Macaca fascicularis: one gene and its partners. The protein of the gene in region 4 interacts with the protein of the main gene of each other region in a pairwise test. Links are inferred from orthologs where the notes say so. Each region holds a gene or a part of one and is shown on either strand. Other genes may lie near its edges.

Region 1 (4,137 bases), on a different chromosome or scaffold from region 4:
GTTATTACTAATTGCAAAATCCTCATGTGTTACAGCATGCTAGGAATTAGCCAACAGCTGCTTTTTGCTTCAGTAATGAGGCCCTATTACACTCTGCTGGACTGAGTTCTCTTCCTTCTTCCTAGCACTGGTTTCCTGTCTGATTTTCTTCCAAAACCGGGAATTGCCTCCGCTCACATCCTGGGCTCAAAGCCCTAGTGACACAGATTATTCAGTTGGGGCAATGATGTCCGGTCTGACATCCCGGCAGGCCCCAGGGTCTATGCTAAGCCAGGCAGTGAGATTGTAATACTCCAACGATAACTGCCAAAGACACATTAGGGAAAAGAACAGGGAAGAAATCAAAAGATCCCTTCCTGATTCCAGGGAGGAGGACAGGCGTTTGGGGTTTGTTGAACGGGAGACGGAGGGTACAGACTTCAGCCTATTCCCTCAGGATGTTTACATTCAATACAAACCACCAACGGGGCTGGGGAGCAAACATAACCAGTAACTTTTCGGATTTAAAACTCATCACCTTGGTGCTCAATACGAACGGTGCATTGACTGCACCCTCAATGAACAGACCAGGCTGTCTCTACTGCGGGTGCTTATAGGAGCACCATGGGAGGCAGAGGGAAGGCAGAAAAGCCATTTTGGGGACTCATCAGGTATAGGGAATCACTTTGGAACAAGGGATCCCTCATCAGATCCAAAAGAGAGCCATGTTCCATAAGACTTTCCAGCTGAATCTACCCCTCCCTGGAAGCCCACCCCAGCCCCTTCTAGAGGCCAAGGCCACCGCCTTATGGAGCATCCCTTGCTGCAGCCAACTGTGCTAGACTCCACAGATGCTGACCACCGTGGGCTGCATGTTGTATTGGGCCTGCGTTAACCCAGCTCTCTCTTGAGACAGAGCGGGTGGGGAGCCGCAGCAGAGGGCAGGCACGCCATCAGCACCCCCCCCGCCCCGCAACAACAGTACCTTCCTGGTATTTATAAACACAGAGATCACACGCACAATCCCTCCACCGCAAACCAGTCCGGCTGCTTTAGAAACAAGTTGTTTTCTGCTTCCAGAACCACCCAGGAGCCTGTGTGATGTCTCTTCCCCCACCGACCCCCTGTTCTCTCTGCCGGCCTCCTTGCTCCAGGTACCCCCAGACCCTCACGGTGCTCCTTCGTTCCTGCGGGGCAGTGCAGCCTCCTGTCCTCGACCCTTACAGAAGACGGGCGGGCAGGCGGGCAGGCACTGGGCACACAGGCGGCATGAGCCAATCAAGGCTGGCTTCTTCCTTCCTGACCTTCGCACCTGATTCCCAGAGCGGCAGCCCTCGCCCTCGCTCCAGATTACTTGAAGGAGTCCAACCATGTTTCTGGATCCCCAACCCCTTTCAGAAAGGAGCTAAGACTGATGGAGAACGAGGAGGGGAGAGAGAGAGAGCTTTCCTGAAAGAATAGGGTCCCAGGATGTCGAAAGGTGCCAGTGGGTGCAAAGATTTTCTTGTCTGTCCACCATCCAGAAAGAAGACTCGGGGCGGGGGGCGAGGAGGGGCGGGCACTGGGGAGGGGGAGTAGTTCATGGGAGGAGGTAACAGGCTCTTCCTGGTAGGGGGCCTACAATTCCAGGAGTTTATCTGGGTAAAATATAATGTGGGAGGAAAAGGGCATGTTGTCTTTTCAAGCCCACTCCCCAATCCCCTGATGTAAAAGGGGGTGGTGGGGGAGGAGAGGACGAAAATCCAGAACTTAACAACGGTGGCCCGTAGGTATTTTTTCGCTAAGAAAAGGAAAAGAAAGCAAAAGAGGCAGTGGCGGCGAGAGGAGGGCAGGGGTCCGCCCGCGCCGCCAGGTGCACCGGGGCCCGCACCTACCTGCTGGCCGCCGCCGCCGCTGGAGTACGACTCGGCGTGCGCAGGAGAGCCGCTGCTGCCCCGGGACGAGGTGTCAAAGTTCCCGGGATAATCCTGGTACATGATCCGCGGTAGGGGCCGGAGGGGAAACAGGGTGTTTTTCTTCCCCCGCCCTCGCCGCGGCCGCGCACCGGCTGCTGCGCGCTCGTTCGTCCGCCGGCCGCGCCGCGGGCTCTGGGTTTCGCTCCTGGGTTTCTCCCCAACCGCGGCGGGCGAGGACAAGGAGGCGGCGACACCTCGGGAACAGCGTCCCCCGAGCGCCTCTTACGGCACTTCTTTCCGGCTCTGAGAACGCCGCGGGACCAGTTGTCCACCCGGTCCCTCCCTCTAAAAAGTCGGCGCGTCTCTCGGTCCCTCCCCTGCGCGCGCCCTCCCGCCCCCGCGCGCAGCCGGAGCTCAGCCGGGACCCACGGCCCAATCAAAAATTGGAAATTAAAAAGACTAGGAGCCCAGAGAGCCTGGCCTGCCAGCCCCCGGGACCCTCCGATTTCAGACAGGGCCAAAAAGGCGGAAAGAAAAGCTGTCCGCTGGGAGAAACTTCTGTTTCTTCCTTTCAGAAAAGGAGCCGGAGAATAAACTTCCCGTGGCCGACTCGCCGCCGGAGTTTCGGGGCGGCTCGGATACTTGACTGGGAGAAGGCGGCGTGCGCCCGTCCCGCGGCCCCGAGCGCGCCAGGGGGACAGCGGCTCGTGGGGCTCAAGCTGAGCTGGCGCTGAGAGGGACGCGGCCCTGCTCCCCGCTCCGGCGCCCGGACCTGCACCCCTTCCCCGGCGCCCGCTCCCGGACGGGCCCGCCTCGCCCGACCGCGCCTCTCCCTCTCCCTCTTTCTGTCCCCGCCGAGCGCCGCTCGTTCGCTCGCTCGCTGGTTCGCTCGAAGCCCTAGCGCTCTGCCCGAGATGAGTCACTACAATGGCACGAGTTCAACTCACACTCTTTATTCTCCAGCCCTGTACCATGTGGATTCACTCACGTCAACCCCAGACTCCACCTTGCAGGGAGGAGCGCACGAGGAGGCGGGGGGAGGAGGCCGCGGAGGAGGAAGAGGCGCAGGAGGGGAGGAGGCGGGCGCAGCTCTTCCCTCCCAGCCCCGGCTCCCGGCCGCGCTGACGCCAGCCGCGCACCCCGCGCGAGGAAGCCAGGCGGTGGCCCTGGCGGGAGCGGGCGGCCCGCACGGTTGGGGGGCGCCGAGGCAGCCCCGGCCCTCCCCCGCCCCCCGCTCACCCCCCGGGCCCAGCGCCCTTGGTCTGTTCCATTGGCGCACGTTGCCAAAGATGGTCATTTGCGTTAGAGGACGCGAGTGCGGGTTTCCTCGCTTTCGGGTGACGTGGAGGGAGAGGGATTCCCTCGCCCGCTCCCGAGTGCGCTGTGGCCTCTCCCCCGCCCCGGGAAGGGGCGCGGGGCGGGGCCCCGAGAGCGGCCGCGCGGTCTCGACTCCGGATTTTAGAAAATAATCACAGCCCTGACGGGGAGACGGGCGGTTCGGTGCGGCGCCACCGGGAGGCCGGGAGCTGGGCGCGCAGAGCCGCTCGCAGGGAGGGCGCGGCCGCGCGCGGTCGTAGGCGCCCTTCGCGGCGCCGCCGAGTGCAGCGGGCGCCCGGGGCGCGCAGGGTGCCCGCGCCGCCCTGCGGCCGGGTCTTGGCGGGGCGCGGCGCCGGGCGGGGCTGGCCTGCCTATTTTTCCCTCCGTGGCGGGCTGCCTACCGCTTCCCTTTTTGATTTTTGTTTTTCATGTTTTCGGTCCTACAGTTAATTCGTTAGGAGTAGCCTTGAAGATGAAATTAACCGGGCAAGATATTCCGGCTGCCCTGTACGCCGAGCAATTAGGACGCATCTAATAAGAGTAATCGGGCGTTCATAAGCAAACTCCCGACTGTTACGAATTAAAAAAAAAAAAAAAAAAAAAGTAGCCAGCGAGAGGGTGTGCCCCAACGTTGTCGTCTTCAGCTGTTTTGGAGCGAAGTTCAGGGCGCGGGTAGCCGGACACTTGGGTCCTCCTCCCTCACTGGGCGGGGCTGGGAGGGGCGCGGCGCAGGGTACAGAGCACAGACCTTGGAGCAGGAACGCCCGGCTACGCTATTTACGAGCTGTGAGATCTTAGACCAATTCCTTAACCTCTCTGGGCCTCAGTTTCCTCCTATAAAGGGAAGGAGTTTGGAGCCATGACCTTAGGCCCTTCTCTGCTCTGGAGCTCCAGTCCTTCTGCTGAGATGATGGTGTGTGAATGGAGAAGTACTGTAGCGGAATTC
Region 2 (3,500 bases), on a different chromosome or scaffold from region 4:
GATCTCTGAGACCTCTTTGGGACAAGTGAGGGGGTGTGAGTCCTGGGAATCGGGCAGGCTGGGCATGCAAGGCCTGGGGTGGTCTGGGCACCTCCTGAAAGCTCTCAGCCTCCACTCCTGCTCTGAGGGCCACACCTGGGCTCTGTCCCTGTGTGGGTCCCCACGCCCCCACCCGGCGGCCTCTGCTCACATCATTGGGACAGTTGACGTGGCCTTTCTCCTTCACTTCATTCTTCCATGCCTCTAGCAGCTGGGGGTTCAGCGTGGGGAGCCCTGGCCGAGTGTAGTTGAGCTGTGAATTCGACAGCACCAGGGTGAGCCTGAGGCCAGGAGACACCCCAGCTGCTCTAAGAACACTCGCCTTGGCAGCAGGCAACACTCGCCACGGCAGCAGGCAACACTCGCCACAGATGGCGGGGGCAACGGGTGGCCCAGGTCACGGGGCGGCTGTCCCAAGGCTCAGGCCAAGGCATGTCCCGCCCAGAGGCCACAGCGCTGTCCACAATACTGGGTGGGCAGCTCACCCGTGCGGTCTCGGGCACGAGGTCATCCTTCATGCGCCGCTTGGTCCAGTCGCGGGCCAGCTCGTCCTCTGCTATCTCCTGCAGGTGGAACACCGCCACCTGGGCCGACGTGCGGCGGACACGCCCGCTTGGGGTCCGCTCCACACCCAGCAGGTCCTCAGCCTCGGGGGACTTGTCTGTGGGCTCCTCAGGGGGCTGAAGGGCAGGAAGGCATGGAGGCTAGAGTGAGCCGCAGGAGCAAGAGGCAGGTCGGCGCACAGTGAGGCCACCCCAAGGCCGGTGGACCCACAGGCCTCGTAGTGTGCTGGGGACACGGCTGACGCAGGCAACCCGAGGGAACAGGGAGGTTTCACCCTCCCGCCCACCAGGACACCCGCCTCTCACAGAGAGGGGTGGGAAACACATGCGTTAGGCGGCACATGGACAAATACGGTTGGTACCCGAGGCACACAGAACACACACGGCAAACAGGAGCAAGCATGGTGCCACGGAACGGATGCCACAGAACGGAGAGCCACTCACAGGGGCCGTGTGCTCCGAGCGCACGTGGTAGTCGTGGCCGGCCTTGGATCGGTATGTCTTGCCACAGTGGGTGCAGGGGAAGGAGGGGCTGTCCACCTCGCAGGGCGGCTTCCCACAGCGCCGCTGGTGGTACTGGTAGCCCATGAGGCTGGAGAAGGCAGCCCCGCAACCCTGGGGGTCAGGCCAGAGGGTGGGTGAGTGGCCAGCAGGGCCCCCCCACCCCACACTGCCGTGGCCCCCACTGACCTCCTGGGGGCAGCGTAGCCGTCCCATCTGCTTCAGCACCTTGCGCAGCCGCTCGCGCTCCTCCTGCTCACCCCCCTCAGAGGCCTCGGCGTCAGAGGGCTGGGGACGGGGTGAACGTCGGTGACCCACCACCACCACCACAGGTCCCTGCCCTGGCCCTGCCCCACCCAGGTGTTGGGCCACCGTCATCCGAGGCTAGAAACTGGGGGAGCTGTGGTGAAGGTGGGGTGTGAGGTCAGAGGTCACGCTGGACAGGCGCTGGGGGCCCGACGGTACCTTGGCACTGTGCTCGGCCATGGTGTGGTAGTTGAGCCCAGCTTTGGACTTGAACTGCTTCCGGCAGTGCTGGCACTTGAGTGCATCCTGAAGCTGCAGATGGCGCAGGTGTGAGAAGCCTGCCTGCGGCCGGGGCACCTCCCTCCCAGCGCCTTCCGGGAGCTGCCTTACCTTCTGACACACCTCCATGTGCTTCTTGAGCCCCACGAGCGTCTTCCGGGTGACCACGTTGCAGGTGGGGCAGACGGCTTCCCCACGCTCGTGGATGGCCCTCTGCCACTGCTCTTCAGGGCCACCTGTGGGGAAGGCAGGGGCCTCGAAGGCTTGTGGGGACCCCTGGGTGGCCTGGACACCAGGCACAGAATCCAGCCTCCACACTCAGCCCCCATCCCTGTGCTGTGGGATCTACCCGCGTTCTAGAGCTGCCCTGAGCCCCTGCCAGGCAGCCCCTACCTGGAGCTGGGTGGGCCATGGGGGCTGGTGCCTCCTTGCTGACAGTGATGGGGGCTGGCACCTTCTTCCGGGCATCCTCAGGGCCTGGCCCCTCCTGCTTCTTGGAGCGGTGAACTCGGGCCTTGTCCTCAGCTTTGACCAGGCCTGTGTGCACACATGGGGTGGAGAGAGGCAGGGGTGGGCTCAGGGGCTGCCGCTCAGTGGACAGCCCCAGCCCTGGAAGTGCACACCGGGCTGGGGTCTTACCTTTGAGCCCAAAGGTCCCTGAGATGGATGGCTGCTCCCCTGTAAACTTCTTGGGTGTTTTCTGTTTCCTTCCTGACTCGGGGAGAGAAAACGGGGGCCAAGATTCTGGTCAAATAACCGTCAGGAGCCGAGCCTGTGCCGGCCGCCACCCCTGGGGCTCTCATCTTACTGTGCTTCGTGCGCTCGGGGTCCTCCTCAGGCGGGGACGCAGGGCCTGCAGCCCTCAGTGCCTCCACGCCCCCCGACGGCCTGCTGCCTGGCGACAAGGAGCCACTGCTGGCATCTGCACTCAGCTGGAAGGCCGAGCTCTGGCCCATGGTGGAGGGGCCGTACTCCCCATTCTCTGGCCTGGCCTGCTTGGGTGGAATTGGGCAGGTGTCCAGGCCGTCCGCAGCCCTGCAGGGAGCAGGTGAGGTGAGGGCCAGGAGGGCCTAACTTTGGGCCCCATTACCCCCAGGCCATGGCCGAGGAGCACCCCGGCCTGGAACGAGCCCCATACCTTTTCTTACCACTGTTCCTCCCTGTGGCACGAGGTGCTTTGTTTTCCGACTTGGTCAGCAGCACCATTTTGCAGGGCGGTGTGTGTCTGCTGATGGCAATGGGCCTGCTGACTGTCACCGGCTTGCTGACCACAATGGGCCTGCTGACTGTCACTGGCTTGGTGACCGGCACGGGTTTCGTAACTGTCACAAGTTTTGTGACCGTAATGGGTTTGGTGACAGGTACAGGTTTGGTGACTGGCACAGACTTGGTGACTGTGATGGGTTTGGTGACTGGCACAGGCCTAGTGACCGGCATGGCCTTGGTGACTGGCATGGGCCTGCTGACTGTGACAGGTTTGGTGACTGGCACGGGCCTAGTGACTGGCATGGCCTTGGTGACTGGCATGGGTCTGCCAACAGAGACTGGCTTGCTGATGCCAATGGGTTTGCTGACACCCACGGGTTTGCCAATAGTGACAGGTTTGCTCACTCCAATGGGCTTGCTGACCCCAACGGGCCGGCTGATGGTGACCGGCCTGCTGATGGGCCCAGGCTTGGAGGCAGGCAGAGGTCGGTCCATGTGGTTCCAAATCCGGTGTTTCTCCAGCTGGGTCTTAGAGGTGAATGCAGCCTCGCAGAAGGGGCAGGGGAAGGCGAGCCGATCTGAGATGGCACCCTGGGCAGGGAGGGCGGGTGTGGGACAGGGCCCCAAGGGCCTCTGCCCAGACACACCCCAAGGCCTCCTCTTCCC
Region 3 (3,335 bases), about 37 Mb from region 4:
GCGAGCCCTGTAGGTGCCCACGGCAGCCATCCTGGGCTCAAGGGGGGTCCTCCTTTGGAGCTCCAGCAGGGTTCAGAGGGGCCCATGGGGTCCAGACCCTTCCTGGGGACACCAGGCAATGGCGGATGCAGGCCAGGCCATGGGGGCCGTGGGGTCACAGGGCTGCAGGAGGGTCCTGGTGCTGAGGGGCTCAGGGTGATGGGCGGGAGCCCAGGATGGGGCAGCCCGGAAGGGAGCATAGGCCAGCTGTGGGGACCCCCCTTCCTCAGGACAGCCCCCCAGGACTGGGCCCAGCCGTGGAGACCCCTGTCCCTCAGCACAGTCTCCTCAGGGACAGGGCCCAGCCATGGAGTGGGGGCTACTGGGGCCTGGGGGCAGGGCCTGGGGGCTGGGGAAGTCCCAGGGGAGCATCTTTCAGGCCAGTGCCGGCGTGGTGGGGGGCGACCCCGGTGGGCATGGGCTCGGGGCGCTGAGGTGGCAGGACCGCTGCAGAGACCATGTTTGTAACAAAGTAGCCTTTATAGGTCCCTGAAGGCGGGCAGTGTGGCTGGGGCGTGGGGTGTGGGGCGTGGGTGGCCGCCCCAGGGCCTCGCGTTCTCGGGCTCCTTGCGTTCCTCCTTGGCTGTCCCCGGGGAAGGCTCTTGCTCCGGGTGCCTGTCGCCTATGCCCGGGGCCTGGGGCTGCCCATCGTGGGCGCTATCTGGGTCAGGACTGGGGCCGGGCAACTGGGGACGCTGCGGTGCCAAGGGAGGTGGCACAGGCCTGCGGGTGCCCGGCTGGTCTGGGGCACGCGGCGTGGGTGGCCCGGAGGACTTGGCCTGGCGGGTGGGCGGAGGCAGCCGTCGGCGGAGGCTGCAGGAGCCCCCCAGGCGCGGCCACACGTCGGCCTCTCCGTTGTGCAGGAGCACGAAGCGACGCTGGGACAGCAGAGGCAGCATCTTCTGGCCACGCAGGCTCTTCTGGAAGGTCTCCAGTGCCAGGTCTGGTGAAGGTGGGGGGGAGAGGGTAAATGGGGGGCAGAGGCTGGGACTGGGAGGAGCAGGAGGGGCGGGGAGGGTGTGGGGGGGGAGGGTGTGAGGTGCGGGGAGGGTGTGAAGGGTGGGAGGGTGTGAGGTGTGGGGAGGGTGTGAGGGGCGGGGAGGGTGTGAGGTGTGGGGAGGGTGTGAGGGGCGGGGAGGGTGTGAAGGGTGGGGAGGGTGTGAGGTGCGGGGAAGGTGTGAGGTGTGGGGAGGGTGTGAAGGGTGGGAGGGTGTGAGGTGTGGGGAGGGTGTGAGGGGCGGGGAGGGTGTGAGGGGCGGGGAGGGTGTGAGGGGCGGGGAGGGTGTGAGGGGTGGGGAGGGTGTGAGGGGTGGGGAAGGTGGGGGCTGGGGCGGTGCTGCCACACAGAAGGTGGAATAGCCCCATCTGTGGGGGTCCGAACTTGGGAAGAGGGCGGGTGGGCATTCAAGACTGGGCAGGCTGTGGGGGTGTGGGGTGGGGGCTTGGAGGGCTCACCCAGGGTCTCGATGACCACACCTGGGATGACCTCCTTCAGGACCTCGCAGTTGGTGTGCAGGGCTGGGTTGGAATTCATCTCCAGCAGCCATACCTGCACCAGATGCCAGTCAGACCCTCCCCACCTCGAGGCCACTGGGCCAGCAGGGCAGAGGCCCTGGTCCTCGTTCAGCCAGGTGGCTCTGGGAGATTGCTTCCTTTCTATAGCGTTGCTCCCCTGTTTGTCCACTGAAACTCTGAGGGTCTGAAGCTCTGGCCTGAGGGGCTGCCCTGAGGAGGGGGTGCAGGTCCGTCCCAGCTGCATAGGAGGTGAGCCTCGTGGATACATCCATCCCCAGGGCTGACTGCAGAGTCTGCCTGGGGCCTGCCAGTGTGGTTAGGGTGTGTGCAGATGGCCCCTGCCTCCTTGCATCTGCCTCCCGTGCCCCCGCCACCCAGGACAGCACCTTGAAGTTGTCATCAATCAGGAAGTCACAGCCGATGAGGTCAAAGTAACCCAGCTTGCACTCCAGCTTGGACTTGGCGGCCAGAAAGCAGTGGGCCATGATCTGCTGCATCCGCTTCTGCAGGGAGACAGGGAGGCATCCTGGCTGTGGCCTCTAGGCCCTGATCACACCCCAGGTCTGAAGAGCTACAGCCACGTCCCTCACCGGCACTCCCATCTGAACCCACACCTGTACAACCACACCTGCCCACACGTTCGTGCACTCAGCATCACAGGCTCACAGCCAGAAACTCAGTCAACAAAATCCTGGAGCTCCTGCCCTGTGCCAGGCCCTGGAGATACACGAGTGAGCAAAACTCACAAGAAATCTCTGCCCTGGAGCAGTTCTTTCATAGCAGAAGAGACGGATAGCAAATGGGATACATAAATCTCGAATCACCGTAAGAACGGTGAATTTTGTCGTTTTTTAATGTGCTCTGGTTTTTTTTTTTTTTTTTTTTTTTTTTTTGAGGCGGAGTCTTCACTCTGTCGCCCAGGCTGGAGTGCAGTGGCACCATCTCGGCTCACTGCAAGCTCCGCCTCCCGGGTTCGCGCCATTCTCCTGCCTCAGCCTCCCGAGTAGCTGGGACTACAGGCGCCCGCCACCGCGCCCGGCTAATTTTTTGTATTTTAGTAGAGACGGGGTTTCACCGTGTTAGCCAGGATGGTCTCGATCTCCTGACCTCGTGATCCGCCCGCCTCGGCCTCCCAAAGTGCAGGGATTACAGGCGTGAGCCACCGCGCCCGGCCAATGTGCTCTGGTTTTATCCTCTGCTCCCCAGCTCAGCTGTAGCCTCAAAAAACAACGGCGTGCATCCCCAGAACTGGAGATAGAAAAATAGACCTCATTTATGAAAAAAATTGTAATTATTTGTTTTCTTATGTCTGGTAGTTCTTTGGAAGATCCCACTTGAAAGGACTAACAGAAAGTAGGAGGGCCGGGTGTGTGGCTCACACCTGTAGTCCCAGCATTTTGGGAGGCCAAGGCAGGAGGATCACTTGAGCTCAGGAGTTTGAGACCAGCCTAGCCAACATGGTGAAACCCCATCTCTACTAAAAATACAAAAATTGGCCAGGCACATAGCTCACACCTGTAGTCCCAGCACTTTGGGAGGCCGAGGCGGGAAGATCACTTGAGCTCAGGAGTCTGAGATCAGCCTGGGCAATAAAGCGAGACCTTAGCTCTACAAAAAAATTAACAAAATTAGCTAAGCATGGTGGTGTGTGCCTGTAGTCCCACCTGCTTGGGAGGCTGAGGTGGGAGGACTGCTTGAGCCCAAGAGGCAGAGGCTGTGGTGAGCTGAGATTGTGCCACTGCACTCTAGCCTGGGCGACACAGTGAGACTGTCTAAAAAAA
Region 4 (4,186 bases):
GTGAGGTGGCTAATGCCTATAATCCCAGCACTTTGGGAGGCTAAGGCAGGTGGATCACCTGAGGTCAGGAGTTCAAGACCAGCCTGGCCAACATGGCGAAAACCCACCTCTGCTAAAAATACAAAAATTAACTGGGCATGGTGGCAGGCGCCTGTAATCCCAGCTACTCAGGAGGCTGAGGCAGGAGAATTGCTCGAACCAAGAAAGTGAAGGCTGCAGTAAGCTAAGATCATGTCATTACACTCCATCCTGGGTTACAACAGCAAAACTCTATCTCAAAAAAACAAAACAAAACAAAAAAAACCTACTCTGGGCTCAAGCAAGCCACCTGCCTCAGCCTCCTGAGTAGTTGGGACTACAGCCACATGCCACCATGCCCAGCTAGGTTTTTCTGTTTTTTGTAGAGATGGGGTTCTCACTATGTTGTCCAGGCTGGTCTTGAACTCCTGGTGATCCTCTGGCCTCAGCCTTCCAAAGTGCTGGGATTACAGGCGTGAACCACTGTGCCCAGCCTTGTCTGAAATTTGACCTGGACATTCTCAGCCTAGGCCCAGGGAGAGAATAGGAGGCCCCAGGCCCATGGGGCTTGCTGAGGACACCAGTGGGGGCAGTGGTTGCTCCAGCCCAGTCAGCCTGACTCTAGTAAGCATAACTCTTGAGATCTCCCACACAGGTCCACAGGTGTAGACACCTGCATGCTGCTTTGCCACTCACAAAGTCCATGCCCACCACCATCTCATCAGATCTCACAAAAGGCAGGCAGGACAGAGTATCATCCCCATTTTACAGATGAGCACAAGGAGGCAGGAATAGAGCAGGCTTATGCCCGAGGTCACTCAGTTATCAGGACCCAGGTCCCCTGCCTCCCAGGCCAGAGCTCTTCTGTCTCCCTAAAAATACTGCCCTGGTGATGAAGGGGATGATCAGCTTTTAAGGGCAGGGGGACAGGAGATGCACTAGAGCCTGGCTCTTCTCCCCAGCTGCCAGCCCTGTGATTGGAAGGCACCCAGAAGCCTTTCCAATGCCCCATGCCAACCATTCAACTCTTCTGTCCCCCACCCCCAACATGCCCACTATCCAGGAGGACCCCGGCCAGGTCCCACAGCTGTGAGTCAGGATCAGAACAGACCCCTCCCCCACCTTCTAGAAGCTGACAGGAGACTTAAGGGGAGAAATTCAACTCCCTCAACCCTCACCCTCTGCTACCGGGCACCAACCCCAAGCTCTGCTCTCCCCCATGGGACCTGGAAGTCAGAGAAGTCTAGGGAAGGGGGCTGGGGAGCAGGATCCCGCAGCTGCTCTGGGGACAGGAGAGGAACAGTTCATTCACCCTGGGTCCCCCAGGGCAGAGGCAGCCTGTCCAAGATTTGAGTTTAAAAATAAGTTGGGGCTGTCTTGGTGGCTGTGTGTGTCCACGGGGTTCTTCTTGATCTCGAACTTACTGTCTCAGGGCCTCTGCCTCATGGGGGATTGGTGGGCTCAGAGTTTCTGTTTCCCCAGAGCCTCACTTCCCAATGGTTCAGGTCTGGGTAAGTCAGGGGCTGTCCTGGAAGCTGTCAGCCCACCTAGGTCTCTCTGCCCCCACTAAGTCTCAGTCTCTGGTGTCTGTCTCTGCTTCACTCAGCATCTCTGTGTCTGGACACAGCTTCTGTCTTTAGGTTTTGGACGACTCTGTATCTTGACTGGCTGTCCCCCGGCGGCCCATGCCTCTGTGGATCTCAAGTCTTGGTCTCTTCTTGTCTACATGGCTGAATGTCTCAATCCCCACCACATCCCTTTCTCTGTCTCTATATCCAAGTCTCTTTCGCCACCTCTGCATACCTGAGTGTCTCTGTCTCTAGTCTCTGAGTGTCTCTGCAGGCCTCAGAGAGCAGATTCAGCCTGAGGCCAATGACGCCCAAGCCTCAGGGCACCTCCAAGGCCTGGGGAAGGGCCCCAGGGAATGTGTTCGCTGGGGTCCCACGTATGTTTTCTGAAAATGCTCCAGAAAGCCTGGGACGGCCCCCATGTCTCGGGTCTGTCCACCGGTAACACTGTACGCCCGGTGTGTCCTTGTTTCAATGGTCTCGGTAGCCTCCTCCTGTGCCTCGAGTCCCTGCCTGTCTTGGTCTCTCGCTCCACTGGGCTCTGCGAGAACCTCAGTTTCTCCAGCGCTTCTGGTCGGTCTGTCTCTATCCGGCTTTTCTATTTCAAACTTAGCCCCCTCCCCCGCCCAACTCTCGCTGCCGCCCCCGCCCCCGCCCCGCCCCGCCCGGCAGCCCGGAGGGGTCTAGTCCGGGCGGGCGCTCTCCCGGGCTCGGCGTGCCCCGGGCACCTGTGGCCAGAGCCTGGCGGGTACAGGGGGCCGGGGCCGCGGCTGGCCTCAGCCCTCCGCGGGTCCTTTCGCTCCCTGGGCGCGGGGGCGGACTGCCGGGGCTGGGAGCCGGGGTCGGCGGGGCGCTCACCTCGAAGCGGGCGGCGGGAGCGGGGAGCGCGCGGCGCGGGCGGGGCGGGGAACCGGGCGCCGCGTCCCTCGGCGGCTCCTACCTGCGGGCCGGGCCAAGCGGGGGCCGAGCGAGCTGCCGGCGAGGCTGCCGACTGCAGACGGACCGTGTGGGCGAGTGGGAGCGCGGCCCCAACCCCTCCCCGAGGAAGTGAGCGCGGGCCCGCCCCGCCCGGACCCCGCCCCCGGCCCCCCAGCCCGCTGCGGGGGCCAGACCCCGCCCCCACCTCCCTTTCGGCCGCCAGCGGGCCCGGCCCCCTCCTCCTGCCCGGCCTAACCTGGCTCTCCCAACCTTCAGGCGGCCGGGACCCCGCCCCTGTCCCCTCCCCGCAGCCTCTGCTCTCCTCCCCTCCCACCCCCCACCCCCACCCCCACCCCCCCCCCCGTCCCCAGCTGCCAGAGGGAGACTGTTGTATTCCATCTCAGGCCGGGGACATCAGACCCCACAGACCATGGTCCACTGGGGAAGAGTCCTGTGGCCTCCTCGGATTTCCCCACCCCCTCACCTTACCCTTAGGGGTGACACTCAACCTGGCCTTAATCCAGCCTGGAGGAGGAGGTTTTGACTCTACTGTCATGAGCCTGTCAGCGGGCACCAATGTGTTCTCTGAAAACATGGGGCGAAGAGAGGACCCCTCCCCACCACAGGGCCTTGACCTCCAAAGGGTTTTACTCCACAACTTTGAGTAGCAAAAACAGGGGTAACCACCTCCCCACCTCCAGTGGCCTCCTGACGCTGAGAAGTCCTGTCTTGCCTGGGTTTCCGCAGTGCCCAGGAATAGTTTTGACCTTTGAGGCCCAGGAGAGACCCTAATCCTTGGCCCCATGATCTTTGGGCTTCTAGGGTGGGGTGTGAGGAGTGTGAGAGGATGGGGCACTGCAGGGGTGGTGGAGGAGAGGGGAGGGGACCTCTGCAGTGTCTAAACCTCTGGCTTCCTCCCTGTGTCCGTGAGGGAGGACTGGCGCCTGCTAGGGACACGAGGCCCCTCCAGGTCCTTGAGGCCACCCCCCCTGGGATCCTCAGGCTTGTCACTAGGAATAAATAGCCTCGGTCTGGAAGGGGTGGGGGAGGGAGGGAGGCAGGAGGCTCTACTGTGCTGTTAGTGGAAACAAGAGACAACAAACCAACCCTGGAATAACCTTAGCGTCTAGAGTGAAGATTCAGGTGCCCACAGAGGCCTCCCCACAACCCAGGCTGGGTGCAGCGGAGCTCTCACAGAGGAACTAACACCCTCCCAGGCTGGGACTCCTGAGAACCTTTCCCTCCCATCTCTGTGTCATGCCTGGGTTCCTGGGTCCCAAGTCACCCTCCAGGCCTGGTTTCCTTTCAAAATTAAATTATTGCTTGTTTATTATTGCTGTTGTTGCCTAAATGGTAAGAGCCATGAAGGCAGGGCTCCGTTTTGTTCCCCACAGCCTTCTCAGTACTTACTTCAATATCCGGCACATAATAAACATCTGATGAATGAATGGATAGCAGACACTGCTTCAGTATGTATGCCCGTCTAACATCCTTGGTTTGTATCACAGGCACCTGTTATCTGGAGTCCAGGCAGTGAGCATCCAGCCCATGGATGGGGACTTTCTCTGGGATTTTTTTTTTTCTTTTTCTTTTTTTTGAGACAGAGGCTTGCTCTGTCACCCAGGGCGGAGTACAGTGGCGCAATCTCGGCTCACTACAACCTCCACCTCCTAGGTTCAAGC
Region 5 (4,098 bases), on a different chromosome or scaffold from region 4:
TTTCTAGAAATTCATTAGTTTGCCAAATATGTGTATACGTATGATGCCTACACCATTTTATATAATTCACAGGCAAAACAAACCAAAAACACTGAGGCATTATGGCATACATTGAATCACAGATATTTAACTATTCAAAACAAGTTACAAGTGACTTCTGCTAAAATAGTTTTAGTTTCAAAGCATGATCACTTTTACAAATTTCTATTAGTATAAAAACTAAAAACACAAGAAAGTATCAATATGTAATATAGTCCCTTCTAGGAAAAATATTAAGAAAGAATAAAGTAAAAGCTAAGTATCTACTCTTGGGTTTAATTTTTAAATTTACCATTTCTTAGTGTTTCTGATTATTTAAGCAATTCCACAGCAGCTCTAATAGCGATTTTATTCCACATATATGCTTCAAAAAATGGAAAAGTAATGAAATTCAATTTAAGTTCTGCTCTCAAATCAACTTGTGAATGAAAATCTAAATCACAGAAAACGAGCTATACATGAGTGAAATGCCTCAAAAAAGTTCTCAGACACTGCAAATATTAAATTGTAACATTCCAGCATATAATTTACTTAACTGAAAACCTATTATGTAAATGGCATAAGGTCTGAAACTGTCCCAAGACAGCAAAACTCCTATTAACTTCAGAGAGTTTATAGGACCCAGGAGCTTCATCATCCAAAAGTGTTCAGGCATTTGACACTCAATCTGAACAAAAAAAAGTACAAGTTAGTATTAGAGATTTGCATGGAACCCAGTTTGGGGAGGGGAGGAATAATTATAAAGAATTCTGAGTACTCTGAGAAAGACTTCTTTCAGAACAAAATATCGTCTTCATTTAAAATAGCAATCGCAAGGAAATGAATTGAAAAAGTTTTTTAAAATCCCAACTCTTAGTTTACAAAATATTAGCCTTAATAGCATTATAATTACCTACCCTGCTCATTGACAATCTCAAGAATAATTAGTACTGTCACATTATTCACAAGCTGCTGTCAGTTAAATCAATATATGTTTGCTGTTAGAAGACTATTTGAATAAGCATTTTAAAACTGTAAATTAAAAACTTCAATATGTGCAACTATAATAGTACGTTGTATTTGTTTTAGCACACATTCATTTTCAAAACTCTTTATTGATAAATCTATTAACTAAAAGTTAAGCTGAAAAAAATGAACAAATTTAGGGGATCTGTAAAACTGGGTTAACGCTAACCAAGAACCTACTACATAAGGACTAATAAGTATTCAAATCTACAGAGAAATATAATTTTTAAAAGAAATACTTAAAAAGGAAAAAGTTCTCTCTCCTGAGCAGGTTCAAGTCACTGTCCAAAGAAAATCAAAAAGTAAATAAAAAGAATATGTTAAGTACAAACATGCCTAGATCTTAACCACAAAGAAAGTGAAATATACACACGTTTCAAGTTGAGAAGCTTCATACATTCTTTATGAACTTGACTTCAATTTCAACTCTCAAAGGAAAATGAACAGAGTAGATTAAAAAAAAAAACTCTTAAAGTACCATAACTGTCACAAATAACATTGTGAACTGAGTTCTCACAAAGCCTCCTTGTGTCCCTTCCCTGTTCATCACAAAGTCTCATAACCACAATGAAAATTGTTAACACTCTACTGCGGAGAAAGAGGATCATCAAAGTGAAACGGAACCTCACTACTACCCCTCCCACCTCCACATGAAGGATAAAGCACTGTCAATAACTACTAACCCAAGTATCACAGATGCCGTGCATCCGGTTTAAATCACAAGCACACACACACACACCCCCCAAAGAAGAGAGAGGAGACAGACTTTAAAAAAGAAAAATCTCTTTCCCAGTACAGCAAAGAGAGCCCAACGAAGAGGCCCCAGGTTTCCGTGTGTGTGCAAGGGGTGTGGGGGGGTGGGGGAGTAGAAAGAGGGGGAGGGAAGAGTGCTGAATGGATATTAAGACTGTTTGCCGCACAAAGAAAACACAGTTTTAAAAAGAAAAAGGAAAACCGTGAAGCTCATGATGGTGAAAGAAGAGCAGCCCATTCAGCACCAAGCAAAGAGGGGCAAAAATGAAGGGAACAGGCGGTGGGAAAAGTTCACCAACGTACGAGGATAAAAATAACAAAACCCATAACAAGGCCCCACAAGTGAACAACAACAACAACAAAACACCACCTCTTGGGTCCCCCCCTGCACACTGTTGTCTATTTCGGCTTTGAAAGAAGCAGGAAACAAGCAGCGTTAGAAAAGAAGAAAATTAAAGAAAGAACAAATTCTTATCTCTTCACCTGACCCTTCTCCTCATACCAGACCTAAGGGAAAGATCCGGCATCCGCATCGGAAAACTGTGGCTCCCTCTCCCGCTCGGCTCGCAGCCCCCCAATCTCCCGCTCCATCCCTGAAGTGCGGCCGGCGCAGGGCCGGGGCCGGCGGGCAGCGCGGCGCCCACACCCCCGACCCAGCCGCGGCGCGCAGGGTCCATTGTAAACAAGCCCGGGGAACAGAGCCCCTCGGCGGCGGCGCCGCAGCGGCAGCCCCCGTGTCAGGAGTGAGACCCCTGCACAGCCACACTCGGCTCGCACACACGAACACACACACGCACGGACACACGCGTTCACACGCAGCCACACGCTCCCACACACATGTAGAGACCGAAGAATATTCACCTTGGCTGTGGATTATTGTGGTGTTGTTGGTGGGTGATGGAGATGGTGGTGGTGGGGAGGAGGAGGAGGAAGAGGAGGAGGAGGAGGAGAGGAGTAGTTGTTGTTGATGGGTAACAGTCGCCAGGACTACGGTGACTATGGCGCTTGATTCACAAGGCAACGGTTGCTATAACTCACAAAAGAGAGAGAGAGAGGGAGAGAGAGAGCGAGAGGGAGAGGGAGACACTCGCACGGGGAGGGGTGGGGGAGGGAAGAGGGGAGGAGGCGGGCCCGGCCAAGCCGCCGGAAGGGGAGGGAGCAGCGCTGTGACTGACGGCCCCCGAAGCCGGGCGGGGTGGCGGGGTGGCGGGGTGACGGGGCACGAGGCCGGGATTCCAACACAGGACTCCGAAGAGGTGCGCCTATGCTTGGTTGGGGCTGAGGTCACCAAGAGTCCTCTCAGAGGGACGTTACTACACGCGCTGGCGAAGCCCAGGAGAATTTAGAGTCGCGGTGCGAGGATTACTATCTGTGAAACGAGGGCTGCCTTTCCCGGCAGCCAGCTTTGTGCAGAGACGTCCCGGAGCCACGAGAGAGTAACGGCTAACCCGAGGGAGGGGGTGGCGAGGGTGATTCCAGGCACTTTGTGGAAAGACGAGCTATGGCTAAGGAAGAATCCACTTTGAAGAGCAACCCCCGCCCCTGCCCGATACGTTACTTCCGGGGCGGGGCGGGCAGAGGGGCCCGGATGTGCCGCCGTTTTTTTCGTTTCTGAGGTGCTGGCGGTGTTCCTGGTCGCGTTAGCCTGCTGGCTTTTCGCTTTCCTGGACGCTTCAGGGCTCCGCGGCCTGCGGTGGACTGGAGGATCCGCGTCACTCTCGCCCTTCTGCTTTCCGCGCTCTGACCCACTCCCCCCTGCTGAGGGCACGACTTGGAGGAGCGCGGGCGGCGGGGCGTGAGCGAGCAGCCTCTGCCGCCATCTTAGAGAAGGCGAGCGTGGGGTGCGCGTGGGCGCGAGCCGGCCTCCCGCGGCCCCGCCGCAGAGTGGCGCGGAGAGGTGAGGTCCAAGCGTGTCCGGCCCTCACTCCAGAACGAAAAGGCGAGGTCATCACTCCCTGCTTACAGGGCTGGGAGTAATTGCCTGTAGAGAGCAAGAAATTGCCCTGCCCGTAGGCTGAGAAAACGCATTTGGCGAGTCTCCTCGACGGAGGGCGTAGAGGGGCGGGGTAATTTACACCTGCCTGCGACACCATCCTGTTAGTTTCTAGTTCTGTTAGTTTAAGCCCTTACGTGCTCATCCCTCTTTAAAGACTGAACCGGGGCTTGAGCTCAAGCCTGGATCCTGTTACCTACCTTGCCCTCAGCCCCACTTAGTCAGCCTACTGTAGCTGAGGGTCTTGCTATTTCCGGCTGAATTGAGATAGACGAATGGCTTCCGTCTGTGTTGAATGTTGTTAACAC
Region 6 (4,030 bases), on a different chromosome or scaffold from region 4:
AGGGACGAGATTACAGAGAGTGCCCATCAGCTCCTGGCACATAGCAGTGCTCAGTCAGGAGTAGCAATCATTACCACAAAGCCTGGCTTCCTGCACCGACAGGCCAGGGGCTCTCACAGACAGTGAGACAGTGCCAGAGACGTCCTGCCACAAATACCAGGAGGCTTTGCCACTTCTTCGTCTCACAGCAGACAGCCTTTAGGGTCAAGCCCATCCACCACCCTGGGGTGCCCCCACCCTCACCCTACAGGAGTGCAGGTGTGAGAAGCATGGCTGTTGGCCAAGGTGTGAGCACCAAACTCTGGGGAGCACCCCTAAGGATGACGCTGGGGAGGACTACAGAGGAAACCACACCTTCATATCTGGGGAGTATTGGTTTTACCTTCAATCTCCGAACTGCTTAGATAAAACAGAGTGAAAGGAGGGATGAAAATGTGGAGTGAAGGGAGAACTTGAAACCTTACAGATAGAAAAGTGTAGGTTAGGCTGGGTGCAGTGGCTCACGCCTGTAATCCCAACACTTTGGGAGGCTAAGGTGGGAGGATCACTTGAGGCCAGGAGTTTGAGACCAGACTGGGCAAAATAGTGACACCCTGTCTCTATATAAAATTTTTTAAGAACAGGAGATTAAAAAGCAAAAAAAAAAAAAAAAAAGGCCAGGTACAGTGGCTCACGCCTGCAATCCCAGCACTTTGGGAGAGTGAGGCAAGTGGATTACCTGGTTAGGAGTTCAAGACCAGCCTGGCCAACGTGGTGAAACCTCGTCTCTACTAAAAATACAAAAATTAGCCGGGCATGGTGGCGTGCACCTGTAGTCCCAGCTACCCGGAAGGCTGAGGCAGGAGAATTGCTTGAACCTGGGAGGCGAAGGTTGCAGTGAACCGAGAACGCGCCACTGCACTCCAGCCTGGGCGACAGAGCCGAGAGAAAGGGAGACTAAGTCAGCATCCGTGGAGTTACTTTTGGGGGAAGCAAAGTGTAAGTTTCCCTGGCTTTACTGCAGATAAGAGATTGACACCTAAATACCCTTATCTGCAGTAAAGCCAGAGACCTTAAGAACGCTCTGAAGGAAACATCACACGTTCAGTCAATTTGATATTACATGTGTGCGGGCCACAACGTCCCAGATACCTGGAGACTACCCTCTTCTCTGTGTTCTTCTAGTTTCTAGCCAAACATTTGGACCTGCTACAAAGACAAGCACACAGAAACGCTCTGGGAGAGGGGAAGAGCTGGGGGATTAGAGCCAAGCGGACATACCCCTCCCTGCAAATAGGATATGTATAGGGGTGCCATCCTGACGCGGGGGTTAAAGTGTTCGCTGTCTAAAGGATTTCTCCCACTCTGATGGATGGCCTTTAAGTATTTCAAAAGGTGATTCCAACCTGCAAGGCCAATACCGTCTTGAAAAGGGACCTTAGAAGTCTCACCGCACGCCACGGGGGTGGGACCCTTTCCTGAAGGCTTTCATAACTCTCCATCCCTTTTCAGGGAGAGGGCACTGGCACAGGCGTCCCCTGCACCATGCCCGGGATGTTACCTCGCTTGAACTCCTCCAGGACAGCGTCCAGCTTGGTGTCGTTGAAGACGAAGTGGAGCGGATGGTTGTAGAAACGAGTGATGGTGCTGAGCGGCGTGCAGTCTTCAGGATCCACGAAGGCCAAGTCCTTGAGGTAGAGCATGTCCACGATGTTGGAGCGCTCCTCCTCGTACACGGGGATGCGCGTGTGGCCGCTCTGCATGATGCTGGCCAGGACGCCGAAGTCCAGCACGGTGCTGGCGTCCAGCATGAAGCAGTCTTCGAGGGGCGTGAGCACGTCCTCCACGGTCCGGCAGCGCAGCACGCCCTTGCTGAGATCGCTGTAGGGGTCGCCGCCGCCGCGCGCCAGCTCCAGCACCCGTTCCCGCAGCCGCCCGGGCCGCGCTGCCAGCTCCAGCAGCTGCCCCACGGGCAGCGCCACGGGCAGAGTGAGCAGGACGGCCAGGCGGCTGAGGCCGAGCGCGCGCGGCGCCAGCACCAGCGTCCAGCGACCGCTCACGGCGGCCGGCACCACCTCGCCCACCAGGAACACGAGCCCCGCGCTGCCCAGCACAGCAGGCACCGCACGCTGGCCGGCCGCGCGGTACAGCAGCACCGCCAGCGCTGCCTGCGCCAGGCTGGCCAGCAGCAGCAGCGCGCCCAAGGCGCAGCCGGCCCAGCGCCGCGCGGGCTCCAAACGCCGCGCCGCCGCACGCTCCGCCTCCGAGCCGCTCTCGCGCAGCACCTGCACCTCCGCCGGCGCCAGCGCCAGCGCGCTCAGCTGCAGGCCGCGCGCCAACGCTGCCAGCGCCAGCAGCCCGGCCGCCCCCAGGCCCAGAGCCCAGGGAGGCGCCGCCTCCTCGGTCGCCCCGCCACCCGGCTCCACGCGCACCGCCAGCAGCGCCGAGTGCGGGCGCACGGCCTCGGTCCGCAGGCGCAAGCGCAGCAGCGCGCGCCACTCGCCCGCGGGGGCGGCCGCCTCCTCCCGGCAGCCCGCCCCCTCGGGGGCCACCCAGGACCAAGAGCTGTTGGCGAAGCCCGGGCCGAAGAGGCGCAGGAGGAAGGTGGCGTCCGGCGTGTCCCGCGCCGCCCCTCCGCGTACCCACCCCGCGCCCGCCGCTCCATCCTCCTCCAGACAGAAGCCCAGCACTCGCGGGCCCGGCGCGGCGTCCCCCGCGGCGTTGCCCAGGCAGAGCGCGGCGAACAACCAGCCTAACACACCCGCCGCCGCTGCCGCCGCCGCCATCGCCTGCCGCCCCCTCTCGGCCTCTCGCGCAGCCTACCCCGCTCGCCCCGCGCCTCCCCGGGCCAATCGTTGCCGGTCTTCGCGCTTCCTCGGCCAATAGGCGGTGGACAGGGGCGGGCCCCAGGGTCGGACTAGGCTGCGCCGGGGAGTAAACAAGCGGCCGCTAGGGGCGGGCCGGGGGCGTGGGGCTCTGGGCCCGGCCGGGTCTGCGGCAGCTCCGGATGCGCGGGGTGGCCGTGGCCGGGAGAACGCGGGGCGGCGGGCAGGGCCTCCCCAGCCCGGCTGTCCTCGGCCCGCGCGCGGCGCCCGGCTGTCCCCCGCGCCCGGAGGCCGCGCCAATGCTCTGGGAAGTGCCCGGCTCTGGAGCGGAGCTGCCGCTCGGAAGAACCTCGGGTCCTGGCGCGCCTGAAGTTAAAGACCGGACGGAGAGTTAAATGTGCGAGAGATGTGCCTTTTTCTTAGGAAAGACCACCGGGTGCCAGAAAGGTTTTCGACGCGCCGACCTACGGTGCTAAGAGGGCTGAAGTAAGAACCAGTGACCGAGCGCCCGGAGGTGAAGTTGATGGAAGATGTTCATCGCTCCGGACCCTGCTGGAGGTCTGGGGACGTCGGACACAGCCCCTGCGGTCCCGCTGCGGACCCCGCGATAAACACGCAGACACACAAAATCACTACCGCCTTGAGTCTGGACAGCTACCTCAGGTTGTTAGTATCTTACAGGAGCAGAGCGGAGCTCGGACCGACTTAGTGTGCGTGCTGGGTTCCGGCGCCCCCGGCCTGCCACCCAGGTCAGCATCGCAGCCACGCAGGGAGGCGGCAGTTCTGTCTACGGAATGACTACCTCTGGTGATTCCACTTCTCATAGCTCGCCGCTGGGAGGAAAGTACCACCTCGGGACTCACAAGATCTATTCCAGAGGATCCGCACTGGTGAATTGATTTTAGAAGACAGTGTGGTCTGTTGACAGTATGGAAGGTTCTTTACCCATTAGATATGATCTGTCTGTGATTGGAAGGAAACAGACCAGATGCTAACACTTCTCTGTAGATGTTCAGATTCAGTAATTTTTGTATTTTTCTCTACACTTTTGTTTTTTCAAATTTCCTAGCACAGGAAGACTTTGACTTACTGCGCATGTCATTTTAAATGACCTTTATAAAAACTATAGAAACAATTTGCTATGTCATGAAAGTAACATTCAAATAAAGTATGCACATTGTGGCCACAAAGTAAAACTTGTGTGGAAAGTAATGTGCAAAAAAAAA
Region 7 (4,292 bases), on a different chromosome or scaffold from region 4:
CAGTTGGAAAATTCAGACTTGTATACATCATGAATACTGCACATTCTAACAGTAATAAGGTAAATGAGTGATTTTGTTTCTAAAATTACAAAGATATTGTTGAAATAATTATTACTACCATTAGGTATTATTTATCTTTTCTCTGAAATATTACAATTGACATAAATTAGTACATTAATGTAAGGTAAGACACAAGTGAAATATATAATGATGTACTATCAACTCCAAGCTTATACTAAATGCTAATATCTTTGTTTTCAAAGTGAATATTTTAACTTAAGGATCTTAGTAATGAATTGACAATTTTCCAGAAAACAGCCTTTCTTTAGTTCTCCCTTAAGGATGTAGACTAGGCCCACATGCCTCACGCGAGCTACTGAGGTAGTGACCCCGGCAGTGGAGCCGCAGAGACTCTATCTTTAAAATCAGAATAGAGGATGTCAAGGATTGGGTTTCATTTGTTCTAAAGTGTTGACATGTTGTGTGTGTGTGTGTGTGTACGCACACACACTCCACCTGAACCTGATCGTAGACCTGGAGGAGAGTTTGAGATGGTTATCTCACTCTACCACTTGATGACAAGTCGGTAAGTAGCCTGAGACTAAGGCAAATTCAAGGACTCTCTCAAGGTCATACAGGTAGTTTAACTCGCTCACTTGGTTAGCCAGAGCAGGGCGATGCTAAGTTTCTTCACTTCACTATGTCCCAGTGTGCCTGGCCCTTTTGAGCTATTACACACATACTTCCACTTAACAACCAGTCTCCTAAAACAAAGTTCATATTTACATAGGAAGTCTACCAAATGCTTGAGAGACGAACCATAATTACATTATTTGGATGTGATTTTCTAATATGCAAGATATGATTGTTTCCTGTGAAGATGTACATGGACAGAAACAGAATGAGATGCACTTGCTGTACTGTGGTCCACTTTCATGAAAGTGGTACCATGTGACTCTAAAGTAGGCAGACTTTAAAACAAAGGAGTGGGCTGGGCACGGTGGCTCACGCCTGTAATCCCAGCACTTTGAGAGGCTGAGGTGGGTGGATCAGCTGAGGTCAGGAGTTTGAGACCAGCTTGACCAACATGGAGAAACCCCATCTCTACTAAAAACACAAAATTAGCCAGGTGTGGTGGCGCATGCCTGTAGTCCCAGTTACTTGGGAAGCTGAGGCAAGAGAATTACTTGAACCTGGGGGATGGAGGTTGCAGTGAGCCGAAATCATGCGATTGCACCCAGCCTAGGCAACAAGAGCTAAACTCCATCTCAAAAAACAAACAAACAACAAAAAACCCCAAACAAACAAACAAAAACAAAGGAGTAAAACACACCTCACCTACAAATGTGTGGCTCCAAAAAAGTGCTGACCTCTTTGAGAGGCGACACAATGTTGCAATGAATTACTATTCATCTGAACACCTATCAGGCACATTTTAGTTGCTGAAAAAATGACACATCTCTTTTATTCCTGTGCCACAACATTGCTGGAAGCCCACATTTGTAAATGGCTGGGAAGCAACTCTCATTCTACATCCCCCATCCCCCACAGCCCAGACTTCAGAGTCACTCAGTTTTGGCCCAAACCAGTATGACCAAGCATAATTGGTCATTCTCTGGAATTGGCTTCAAACCACTTTATTTACCACTTCATCCATCCCAGTTCATTCTTTGGACTTGGCTCCAAACCATTTTTGCTTTATACAAAAATGCTTTATACAAAAATGCTTTATACAAAATACAACGAATTCACCCTAAAAGAATGATGATTTGCTTGTCATTATAGAAGAAGTAAGTTTCGGGGACAGATGGCCTCGTTGGCATGACTATGGGGCCTCCTTCCTCTGGGCAGTCAGGCAGGTCTGAACAAATTGCTGAAGTCTGGCTATTTGTTTTAAGTTTAGGTCATTAGATTCACTTTATAGTTGTACCTCATAGTTTTGCTGTATGAGAAGCAGTGGTATTTACATCTGTTTAGATTTTCTCGTTAGCTTTCTCATGGATTTAAAGTAAATGAATAAGGAGAGAGGCACCTGATTTCTACCTTGGTTAACGGGAAGCGAAAGGACAGGCGTCCCGCTCTCCCCAAGACTGGGAATGTGGAGCCTGATCAACATTTCCTGCTGCTTTCCGCGTAATTTCAGGCAAGCACAAGGAAATTGCTGGGAGAAGACACATTTCTTCTTCTTTCTTTCCTTTTTTTTTTTGAGACAGAGTTTTGCTCTTGTTGCCTAGGCTGGAGTGCAATGGGGTGGTCTTGACTCACAGTAACCTCCGTCTCCCGGGTTCAAGCGATTCTCCCGCCTCAGCCTCCCGAGTAGCTGGGACTATAGGCGTGCTCCACCACGCCCAGATAATTTTGCATTTTTAGTAGAGACGGGGTTTCTCCATGTTGGTCAGGCTGGTCTTGAACTCCCGATCTCAGGTGATCCGCCCGCCTCGACCTCCCAAAGTGCTGGGATTACAGGCGTGAGCCACCGCGCCCGGCCGAGAAGACACATTTCTAAACCCAATTCAGCCTTTTGTGGAGTTCAGTTCTCTTTATACATTTGAGGGGGCCTCAGAAACCCAGAAATTTTGCGTGTGTGTGCGTGTGTGTGTGTGTGTGTGTATGGTCCGTCCGCAGACTCTTCAAGAACTTGAATGCCATTCTCCCTCCCTCCTTCGGATAGACAGCGCCCCGCGTGCCCGCACACACCCGGTTCACTTACCTGAGGCATCTGTGGATCGTTGATGTCCCAGCTGAGCTGCATCCCGTATGAGCACACGCCGACCGTATCCTGCACCGCGGCTGCCGGCATCTGCCCAACTCGCTCGCGCTTTCCGCCCAGGGTTCTGAAAAATAGAAGAAAAAAGGAGAGGTGCGCCAGGTGATTTTTTTCTACTCTTTAAAGAAGAAAGTGGGGTATGTGTGTGAAGGGGAGGGGCAGAGAGAGAGAGAGAGATTGTTTAGAAATCTGGAAGTTGGGGACAATGGTTATGGACCCGGGCGGGGCCCTGTCCTCGGCCGCGGTGCTGAACGGTCTCCACCCGAACGGTAGCATCGACGTCTGCAGCTGATCCCTCCTTTATAAAGATGCATCTCCGGGGGACTCCGCCCTGTTTCGCCTACCTCGCTAGCGCCCACGCTCCAGGGGCCAGCCACCACCTCCACCACAGACTCAGGAACGGAGGTGGAGGTTAAACTCAGCCCTGGAAGCAAAGGGAAACTGCAGCCAGGGGGTGGGGGTGGAGAGGGTAAGTTGGAATGTATCCTTTAAGTTTAAAACCTTATTATTTTCTTCTCTTTTCTTCTTTTTTGTCTCACTCCGTTGCCCAGGCTGGAGTGCAGTGGCGCCATCTCGGCTCACTGCAACCTCCGCCTCCCAGGTTCAAGCGATTCTCCTGCCTCAACCTCCCGAGTAGCTGGGATTACAGGTCCGTGCCACCACGCCTGGCTAATTTTTGTATTTTTAGTAGAGACAGGTTTTCGCCATGCGAAACCCTTACCAAGCTGGTCTTGAACTCCTGACCTCAGGTGATCCGCTGGCCTGGGCCTCCCAAAGTGCTGGGATTACAGGCATGAGCAACCGCACCCGGCCTATTTTTTTTTTTTTTTCTAAACGCATCCAGCTTCCCTGATTTCGGAAAGGGGCTTAGATGGAGGCTTTGGAAGCAGAGGCTTTCCAGCAAAGTCCCCTGAGAGTCAACACTCAATTCCAGTAGAGCATGGGAACCGTGCATGGGCCCCTCTGCCGTCCGCGCGCTCCCTACGCTGAATAACCGTGCCCATGCCTCCTAGTTACGGGTCAGCCCATTTTGGGCCTCCATTGCCGGCTCTTCCCCTAACTATTGTGCGTGTCTCGGAGTCTTCGCTCGGCTGTTTGGGATGTGTGAACGGGCGCCACGCCTCCGCGTATGCTCGCGAGCCCAGGCGCCTTCGCGCTCCCGGGGACTTCGGAGGGACCTGGCCCTGCAGGAACGGAGTCCTACAAAGTGAACCCGGAGGAGGTGGGGGGAAATGAGCCTGGGGTAGGTAGGAGCCTGGGGAAGGACGGAAAAGGGAGAGGGGTAAAGTCCCGAAGAACTCCTAGCTTTCTCCACTGCTTTGGCTCCCTCTGGGTCTCAGCTTCCTTATCTGTTAAATAAGGGGTTATGGTTCGGGGAGCTCTCAGTTGCCACCCACCTGAACAGAACTCTTTTTGAGACGGAGTCTCACTCTGTCGCCCAGGCTGGAGTGCAGTGGTGCAATCTCAGCTCACTGCAACCTCCGCCTCCCAGGTTCAAACGATTCTCCCGCCTCAACCTCCCGAG

The links.
Region 1: the proteins of FHL3 (region 4) and FOSL2 interact in binary tests that used the Homo sapiens proteins (3 or more experiments, as listed by UniProt). The two-hybrid records come from large-scale screens. The link is inferred for Macaca fascicularis from reciprocal best matches to the Homo sapiens genes FHL3 and FOSL2.
Region 2: the proteins of FHL3 (region 4) and ZNF512B interact in binary tests that used the Homo sapiens proteins (3 or more experiments, as listed by UniProt). The two-hybrid records come from large-scale screens. The link is inferred for Macaca fascicularis from reciprocal best matches to the Homo sapiens genes FHL3 and ZNF512B.
Region 3: the proteins of FHL3 (region 4) and TTLL10 interact in binary tests that used the Homo sapiens proteins (3 or more experiments, as listed by UniProt). The two-hybrid records come from large-scale screens. The link is inferred for Macaca fascicularis from reciprocal best matches to the Homo sapiens genes FHL3 and TTLL10.
Region 5: the proteins of FHL3 (region 4) and RFX3 interact in binary tests that used the Homo sapiens proteins (3 or more experiments, as listed by UniProt). The two-hybrid records come from large-scale screens. The link is inferred for Macaca fascicularis from reciprocal best matches to the Homo sapiens genes FHL3 and RFX3.
Region 6: the proteins of FHL3 (region 4) and CNNM3 interact in binary tests that used the Homo sapiens proteins (3 or more experiments, as listed by UniProt). The two-hybrid records come from large-scale screens. The link is inferred for Macaca fascicularis from reciprocal best matches to the Homo sapiens genes FHL3 and CNNM3.
Region 7: the proteins of FHL3 (region 4) and GCM2 interact in binary tests that used the Homo sapiens proteins (3 or more experiments, as listed by UniProt). The link is inferred for Macaca fascicularis from reciprocal best matches to the Homo sapiens genes FHL3 and GCM2.

What each region holds. Positions count from the first base shown.
Region 1 is NC_088387.1:93,832,556-93,836,692, forward strand, and holds the start of FOSL2 (fos-related antigen 2), read right to left. Parts: upstream 2,801-4,137; 5' UTR 1,956-2,800; coding exon 1,854-1,955; intron 1,211-1,853; exon of another isoform or gene 1-1,210.
Region 2 is NC_088384.1:120,099,554-120,103,053, forward strand, and holds part of ZNF512B (zinc finger protein 512B), read right to left. Parts: intron 3,426-3,500; coding exon 2,767-3,425; intron 2,664-2,766; coding exon 2,437-2,663; intron 2,344-2,436; exon of another isoform or gene 2,340-2,343; coding exon 2,268-2,339; intron 2,166-2,267; coding exon 2,022-2,165; intron 1,865-2,021; coding exon 1,740-1,864; intron 1,662-1,739; coding exon 1,569-1,661; intron 1,392-1,568; coding exon 1,293-1,391; intron 1,218-1,292; coding exon 1,047-1,217; intron 720-1,046; coding exon 525-719; intron 293-524; coding exon 191-292; intron 1-190. UniProt on the Homo sapiens protein: Involved in transcriptional regulation by repressing gene expression. Associates with the nucleosome remodeling and histone deacetylase (NuRD) complex, which promotes transcriptional repression by histone deacetylation and nucleosome remodeling.
Region 3 is NC_088375.1:233,578,403-233,581,737, forward strand, and holds the end of TTLL10 (protein polyglycylase TTLL10), read right to left. Parts: intron 2,058-3,335; coding exon 1,941-2,057; intron 1,589-1,940; coding exon 1,495-1,588; intron 983-1,494; coding exon 519-982; 3' UTR 501-518; downstream 1-500. UniProt on the Homo sapiens protein: Inactive polyglycylase.
Region 4 is NC_088375.1:196,908,855-196,913,040, reverse strand, and holds the start of FHL3 (four and a half LIM domains protein 3), read right to left. Parts: upstream 2,801-4,186; 5' UTR 2,761-2,800; intron 2,603-2,760; exon of another isoform or gene 2,445-2,602; intron 1-2,444. UniProt on the Homo sapiens protein: Recruited by SOX15 to FOXK1 promoters where it acts as a transcriptional coactivator of FOXK1.
Region 5 is NC_088389.1:95,612,183-95,616,280, reverse strand, and holds the start of RFX3 (transcription factor RFX3), read right to left. Parts: upstream 2,801-4,098; 5' UTR 2,659-2,800; intron 2,646-2,658; exon of another isoform or gene 2,281-2,645; intron 1,614-2,280; exon of another isoform or gene 1,440-1,613; coding exon of another isoform or gene 1,418-1,439; intron 1-1,417. UniProt on the Homo sapiens protein: Transcription factor required for ciliogenesis and islet cell differentiation during endocrine pancreas development. Essential for the differentiation of nodal monocilia and left-right asymmetry specification during embryogenesis.
Region 6 is NC_088387.1:1,835,747-1,839,776, reverse strand, and holds the start of CNNM3 (metal transporter CNNM3), read right to left. Parts: upstream 2,801-4,030; 5' UTR 2,766-2,800; coding exon 1,541-2,765; intron 1-1,540. UniProt on the Homo sapiens protein: Probable metal transporter.
Region 7 is NC_088378.1:162,067,501-162,071,792, reverse strand, and holds the start of GCM2 (chorion-specific transcription factor GCMb), read right to left. Parts: upstream 2,801-4,292; coding exon 2,711-2,800; intron 1-2,710. UniProt on the Homo sapiens protein: Transcription factor that binds specific sequences on gene promoters and activate their transcription. Through the regulation of gene transcription, may play a role in parathyroid gland development.